Drosophila melanogaster: one gene and its partner. The protein of the gene in region 1 purifies or fractionates together with the protein of each later gene. This does not show direct contact. Each region holds a gene or a part of one and is shown in the gene's direction. Other genes may lie near its edges. The genes, in order: E(spl)mbeta-HLH and dgrn.

Region 1 (3,762 bases):
TCTGATGAAATTTGTGAAATAACTACCTTATTATTCCATATTATATTTTCGGAATGGGCAGCAGATTAGGTTTCTGCATTTCAAGCTATAGGGGCACACTCGATGAATTCTATTGGGGGCACGTGCTCGTCCACTGGGTTTCCTCTAATTGCTACAATTGGTATTAATGATTCGAGTTACGACAGTGATTCAGTTGTTAAGCTAGAAAAGTCTTTCAGTGGCGTTTAAAGGCATTTATAGCTACTACATGAAAATTGGAACTTCCGAATTACAATTGGAGCCCCTATACTATTTAGCTTTTAATTTAAGCTAGTTGAATGAATGGATTATATAAATGGATTATATTGTTATTACAAAATATTTCTTAATTTAACGTGTTATCTACAATTGTAGCTAAATTGTTTTTAAAAATCTTTAAATTTTTGAAATATTTTTTCCATATTTTTTATAGTATTGTTTCTTTAATAATCCAATATGAATTACTTCTTAATTGGTTGTTGCAAATATCATGCGACTAACTCACCCCAAAAATGCAACCACCACCCTCTGACGAACAGTTTGACACACTGCCGACCCATAAAATCCAATTAAGCATTTCCGGAGCATTCAGCTTTTTGACATCAACAGTTTAAGTGTCCCGGTCCAGCGGACAAAACGTTTCGGTTAGATAAGTTGTTAGCCGTTTGTGTCTTGGCCCGTTTATCACCGTTGCTGCTTTGTTTCGGCTAACTGTAGCTCATTTCGAATGCGTCGAGGGGCAATCTTAATTTGTCTTATTTGAGTTTGAATTTATATACACATAGTGATCGAGTAGCTGCCGTCTCGGAGCTTTTGTTATTCCTTATTTGTGTGCCAATGAGCCGGGCTCGTGTCATTTTCAATGAACGCCAGCGAGCGTCATCGTCGCCGGCACTTCTAATTAAATGTTGAGAAACCCGAGCTTAGGATCCGAGATGTGTCAGATGCCGGCGGATGGAGATCTAGCATCTCAAGCTGATGAATCACGACGATATAGCGTTAAAAATAAATACCGAATGTGCTAAATGTGTATACATACATATACATATATCGCGTATAGCCCACGAGCCATAACATTTATAGCGTGTGCTGGCAACAGCCATTACGATTGTAACCGACTTTCGCGCACACGTCGACTTCGATCGGTTCCCAGCCCGAAGTCGCTATGGTAATTGTCTACAAATAGAAGCGAGCGACGACCCAAGATCCCCAAGCGAACCCAAAACCCCCAACCGAACTGCAGCTGATCCCCAAACGATCCCCAACCGACAATCAAGAATAATCATGTAAACGAAAAGCGTAATGCTCGTCCCACGAAACCCACGACTACCACGATCCAATCAATGATCCATAAAGCGCTAACAAAAAAGCAAGAAACAGAAACACTGGCCCGTCTCGGGTTGGCCCGATGACGATTCCACAATTATCAGCGTGCCATAAGCTACTGCAAAAGGGTGAAGGCACATGGCAAGACTTGAGACCGAACCGAACCGAACCCAACCGCACCGAATTGAAGCCCAAAAGACCGGACCCCGACCATAGTCGACCATACAAATGAATTGAAATGCAAACATCTTGTTATGGATGGAAGGCATGTGCTCGCCTCGCATCGTATCTGGGATCCCAAGTCGCACAGACCTCTTAAAGGCGGCCCGTCCATCCGTCCGTCCGCTCAAGAAAGACGGTGGACGGAAAGACGAGGGACGAGGGATCGTACAAGACCCCAAGCATGCACAATCAGAAGAAGTCAGGCCAGCCGTCGTCATCGTCGTCGTCGTGGAAATCGGCTGCGAAACAGTTTCCCACGGTATAACAATCACAGCACATACATAAGGAGGGAGGGAGAGAGAGCGAGAAGGCGCAGCCCGCTCAAGTCATTTTATTGCCCTCACATATACAGGCAAAAGTATACAAAAAAACAGAAGCCACCACCACCACTACCACAACCAAGCACCACCAAGCCATCTGAAACCACCGCTGGCAACAGCAGCAGGCCGCGCACGAGGCAAAATGAGTGTCCCGCTCGCACTCACTGTCCAGTTCCCAGGGCGGCAGAGGCTATATAAAGCCGATCCCAGAGCCAGCCGACTCATTCAAAGCTCCGACTTCGTTGCGTGCACACAGAGTCTCCGAGTCCGAATCTAGTGGAACGTTGCGACTGTGGATTACGCGAGTTTACTTTACCCCCAATAAAAAAAAAACAAAACCAAACTACAACAAAATGGTTCTGGAAATGGAGATGTCCAAGACCTATCAGTACCGCAAGGTGATGAAGCCCATGCTGGAGCGTAAGCGCCGTGCCAGGATTAACAAGTGCCTGGACGAGCTCAAGGACATCATGGTGGAGTGCCTGACCCAGGAGGGCGAGCACATCACCCGGCTGGAGAAGGCCGACATCCTGGAGCTGACCGTGGAGCACATGAAGAAGCTGCGTGCCCAGAAGCAGCTGCGTCTGTCCAGCGTCACCGGTGGAGTGTCTCCGAGTGCCGATCCCAAGCTTAGCATCGCTGAGAGTTTCCGTGCTGGCTACGTTCATGCTGCCAATGAAGTGTCCAAAACCTTGGCCGCTGTACCCGGAGTGAGTGTGGATCTCGGCACCCAGCTGATGAGTCACCTTGGCCATCGTCTCAACTACCTGCAAGTGGTGGTTCCCTCGCTGCCCATTGGAGTGCCTCTTCAAGCTCCAGTAGAGGATCAAGCTATGGTCACTCCACCTCCCTCGGAATGCGACAGCTTGGAGAGCGGAGCCTGCAGCCCGGCGCCCAGCGAGGCCAGCTCCACCTCTGGCCCCATGTGGCGTCCCTGGTGATCAACTGGACTCCGGATGATATTCACCTGAATCGCCTTCAAGCGGAAGGCTTCTACAAATTTGTTGCCCCAAAGAGGTGCTGGACTTGAAACCGCACCGAACTCCTTGGAGATCATCAATTGCTGCCCAGGAATAGCTTTCCCAGCAGCCCAGCAGAGCCACCGATCATCTCTAGCAGAGCCTCAAATTTCGGCTATAGAGATGGCTGCTGCTCACTTCTTAAAGTCATAAAGAAATGAAAATAAATGAAATTCCAACTCAAGAATCTCTGCATTTACTTATTTCCCATAGAGCTGATTACTCAGACTTCCCAGACATTTAGTGGGCGTCCAACCGCAAACTAAAGCAACTAAAAAAAAGAAACCCCTTAAAACAAGAAACGAATTGGAGATAAACTCCGTGGTGAACCGAATCGCAGAGCCCACAGCCGGAAGTCGCTGAATATTTTCCCACACTCGGACTATCGTCTGGTCTCTCCGGCTTGGCCTCATTATGCCCCGAGAATTCGGATTGCGAGGGTATGCGGGGCTTTCAGGGGGCATACAACATACATACGTATATCTGCGGGAAGTTTTGCGCCGGCGCTGTCGCAATTAAATAATAAAATAAAGCAAAAAGTCAGTTCTAGGAAACGGCATTTATTATGAGGCCCGCCGAGTGTGAGAACCGCGGCTCCGCTGTCAATGGCTCAGCATTGTGGTCATTGTGTTTCGCTTTTTTTTTAAGATTTTGCTCTTTTTTAGTTTTTTTTTGTTCAGGCTTTGACAGCTTTAACTGCGCTTGACCGCTTGGCACATGCGCGGACGGACCGGCGGTCAGACATTGCAAATTAAGCCCGCGACCGCGACCGTCTCGGCACTTAAGTCTTAAAACTCCAATACTGTATGGGTATGGATAGGGGCTGGGATTGGGGTAGGGGTATGGGGTATGTGTAT
Region 2 (4,309 bases), about 20 Mb from region 1:
AATCATTGCCTTATTAATTTTTCACACGCCGCAAGATGAATACTCTAATGACAAATATTCTTATATAAATTCATTTTTGAAATTTATTTTTGTGATAATATGTACATAGATTTGACTATTTCTAATCTATTTTCAAATAATAATAACGTTAAGGCAATGCAAAACAAGAATTTTTCGCATGGTGCCAATTGATAAAAAATAATATAGATTTAAAGCCAAAGAACTTCTAAGGTGAAGGGCATATTTTGTCAAATTTACAATGCATGTGAATACGTGTGCACACATACAGATGTCTGCTATCACTTTGTGCGTTGAAAAGAGCTGTTCGCTGTAGCGCTCTTCGCTCTCTCGCTCTCTAACAAAAATTCGAGAGAGCCTGGAGCCACCTCTAGAGCCACGGCCAAAAAATCGTGTGCCAAAAAATCGTATGGCGTTACGCATCTTGTTATTCTAGGGTCTTTGGCTGTACCACGTTTACAACTTAGGCAAATCACTAAATAATATAAATATAGGAGCTGTGCTTACAAGGTATGGTCATGTGCTAAGCTTAATCTAGCTATACCTAGACAACAGAAGCGACAACCTTAAGCTATTTTGGGAACGGGTTTTGTCCATTTGTGGAGTCTTAGAAGAGTCGCTTTTGGACGATGTAAAAGACACAGGCGAGGAACAAGGAGAAGGCGAAGAAGAGCAGCATTTTGTCAGTGCACTCGCGTCGTCCGTACTTTTTGAGCAGCTTGCCGGACATGCTAATGCTGCCGGCCGTGTGGTGCAGTTCGTCGCTGGTGGCCTCCACATTTTGCGACGAGGCCACGAGCGTTTCCAGGGTGATGGCGCTCTTCTGGGTGGTCTCCGAGAGGTGCCGCGATATAGCCAGCATCTTCTCGGTCACGTCGTTCTCCTGCGAAACCAGACTGCCCTGGTTGTGCCGCGCCCGTGTTGTGGTTCGTTGGCGTAGCTCACTCTCGCCGGTAATGGCCATTAACTCCTCCCGATTGGCCTTCTCGATCTCCAGCATCGTGGACACGTTTGCTTTTCGGAACGCCTGCAGCGTTTTGGAGAACTGATCACGGTGGTCGTCCACTTCATTGGCCAGCGCAGAGTCTGCCGTGTCCCGCGCCCAGTCGTCCAGCCGCTCGATGCTTTTGCGGATAGCAGACAGTTTGGAGCGGCCCGCTTCGTTCAGCTCCTCGAGTTCGGCGATGGAGGTGCGGCTGTTCAGGATGTCCTAAAAACAGAAGCTCGGTAATGAGGGTTTCTCTTCAGATAGCGGAGACTTACGTGTATTATTGCCTTAGCCTGCAGATTGTTATCGATAAGGTCCTGCCGTATGGCCTGTAATGTAAACGCATCCTTGTCCATGTCTCCAACTTTGTTTTGTTTCGAAAATATTCTATTATTCTGCTTTGGTGACGTGCATTTAACGTTAATTCCCGCAATTTTCTAACACTACCACGGCACGGTATATATCGATGGCATTTAATCGCCTAAAAAATATCGTTTACATAGTGATGGTATGGTTTTGTAATGTCGACATATTTATATACATTTCTTATAATTATTTTGTTATCAAAGAATTTCGCCGAAACGGAAATTTTATTTTTAATAAATTATTGATTTTTATTGAATTACAAGTGTCATTCTAAACAGCATTGTATAATACCGCAAAAATCGATAGTCGATCTTAAATCCTTGTTCCCGAATGTCCGTAAAGTGTCATCTTTAAAATAACCGAATGGTCGCGTGAAAGGAGGAAACTATTTTGCACATTTCAATCTGCACTAAAGCACATGTATATCTGGGTTCACCTGCTTTTGTCTTTACTACGAAATCATTTCACAAGTTTCCTGGTCATTTGTTGCTCGAACAATGTCAGATTCGACTATTTTCCGTTTTGTAAGTATACCCTGGACTTTAAACTAGTTAATTCCGATTTATGATTGATTTATTTAGTAGAACTCATCCATTCTTGATCAGTCAGCGGACAGCAACGTATCCAGTTCGAGCTCCAATTCCAGTGTATCCGACTCTTCTGTGGACTCCCATTCATCCATAGAATCCAATTCGGGACACAATACATCCGTGGAATCTCAGTCATCCGCGGAATCTGATTCATCCGCTGATTCCCATTCGTCCTTGGAACGCCCATCCCCAGTGGAGCGTGATTTATCTGTGGAATCAGACTCATCTTCAGCCACCAATACCAGCGAATCTTCAGTCGGAGAAGCTTCAAACCAACTGCAGTCACCGCAAAGCAATAACCCCTTAAATATGGCTAACTTGTCTGTCTCGACTGAAGATGCTCATTCGCAGATCAGATCACTTACCCAGGATGTGATCCAGATGGAAGCAGAGTTGGATCGCAGTATGTCACTCCATAATCATTACGAAGTTTTCTGTTAATTGTTTCATATTTCAGTGAATCGCTACTGCGAGGAAGTTGTGGCACAGATTGACACCTTCGCCACGAGAACCTCAACGCCAACAACTCGTAGAATTCGCCGCAGAAGTAAGTGCAGATCAAAATGAACGCATCTGGGTTTCACAATGAACAATGTTTTTAATTCCACAATAACCAATGACATAGTTCTTTCTATAACCCTGCCGGGTTACTTACTTTTGAAGGCAAAATTTATCTATATTTTTTAAAATTTTGTGAAAACCAGATAGCTTTCGCGGATAGAGCTAGCAATAAACCGAATACCGTTTCTTACTTTTTCCGTAGCGAGTCCAGTAGAAGTGATAGATCTGTCCCATTTGGACCGTGCACCACCTGTTCGATCCGCTCGGAATCGTGATCCCGATGCTTTCATCGATCTATGCACCCCCGAAGGCCCAAGAAGTCGCACAGTGAATCTTCACTCCAACGACTCCCTCACCATTCTGCCACGTCGGTCAGCCGAAAATGACCCGGTAGTGGATCTCGACGTTGCGTCGCCACCAAAACGCGTTAATCGCGACATTGATGAGTCCCAAAAAGAGGAGTTATACAAGTGCCCCATCTGCATGGACAGTGTATCGAAGCGCGAGCCAGTGTCAACCAAATGTGGACACGTCTTCTGCCGCGAATGCATCGAAACAGCCATCAGAGCTACGCACAAGTGCCCAATATGCAACAAGAAGCTGACCGCACGTCAATTCTTTCGCATTTACTTGTAAGTTGCTTATACTATTTCACATTTTTTGCTCTGTGAGCCTTAATATAATATAGTTTAAAAAAAAACGCTTAACTATGTTAGAGACGGCAAATAATGTCTGTTCTTGTGATTCAGAAAAAATTAGTTATTTAAGTTGTCCTATGTAATCAGTGGCGCCCAAAAATATTTGAATACAACTATAAAAACTAAAGACTTCACTTTTGATGTATGAAACCATCTCAGGCTAGAATAATATAAGAACGACCGAAAGGAGTGTCAAAGTATTATGTAGGCATTTTTCCAAACGCAATTTAACAATGTAACATACATATAATATAATAAATAAAATGGTCCCAACGCATATCAACAGGTTTGTCTCAATCTCATTTTTTATTGTTGGCTACTATTTTTTGAGACAGAAGTCAGACATGGAATTCTGAGATCATTAAAGGGTCGATAAAACAGGATAAATTGGAAACAGGTGGAACATGAAGTGTCTTTAAAGAGACTTTTTCCCTCCAATTTTGTATATATATAACAATATATTTTTTTTTTTTTAAACTTCATTCTATTTATTTTGGTTCCAAAAGGAATCGTTCGGTCAATTCCTCTGAACTTAACCTTATGTGTGTATAAAGGTATATTAGACCAAGTGGTTTCTTAATTATTAAGTACAAAAGGGAAAATGTATCTAGTTATTAATTACTTATTGTGTAAGGGTGTAGGGAGATCGGTGGGGTGTACCCTCTTCAGCCTTCGGAGGGAGATGGGATTAGATAGGCTATTTGCTAGTCGGTTCGGGTGGACCATAAGCCTGTCGGCATAACGGCTGCTGTGAAAATTAATCTGATCCCCAAGAGGGGTAACTTTCAGATCTCTTTCGATTACCTTGTTTGTCACGTACCAGGGGAGCCCAAAAGCACGACGTGCAGCTCTCGACTAGACGACACGGAGCCTATTGAGCTGGGATTTGGCGGCAGTTCCCCACACCTGGATGGCATAACTCCACGTTGGAGCAAGTATGGCTTTGATTAAAAGAGCCTTAGAGCTCACTTGTAGTTTGCTGGAGTGGAAGAGCCAGTCGAGCTTTTTTAGCTTCGCCAGTGACTAAAATTTGACCGACGTGATGTGGGCCCTCCAGGTCAGTCTCCGATCTAGATGAACTCCTAGGT

The links.
Region 2: the proteins of E(spl)mbeta-HLH (region 1) and dgrn purify together in Drosophila melanogaster (affinity purification with western blotting, with the first as the bait; one study listed by BioGRID). This does not show direct contact.

Annotation. Positions count from the first base shown.
Region 1 is NT_033777.3:26,004,371-26,008,132, reverse strand, and holds E(spl)mbeta-HLH (enhancer of split mbeta, helix-loop-helix), read left to right. Parts: upstream 1-2,109; 5' UTR 2,110-2,239; coding exon 2,240-2,827; 3' UTR 2,828-3,087; downstream 3,088-3,762.
Region 2 is NT_033777.3:5,823,080-5,827,388, forward strand, and holds dgrn (degringolade), read left to right. Parts: upstream 1-1,535; 5' UTR 1,536-1,869; coding exon 1,870-1,896; intron 1,897-1,953; exon of another isoform or gene 1,954-1,956; coding exon 1,957-2,365; intron 2,366-2,419; coding exon 2,420-2,509; intron 2,510-2,725; coding exon 2,726-3,159; 3' UTR 3,160-3,497; downstream 3,498-4,309. Other genes in the region: Sec20 (secretory 20), read right to left, coding at 626-1,228, 1,282-1,362.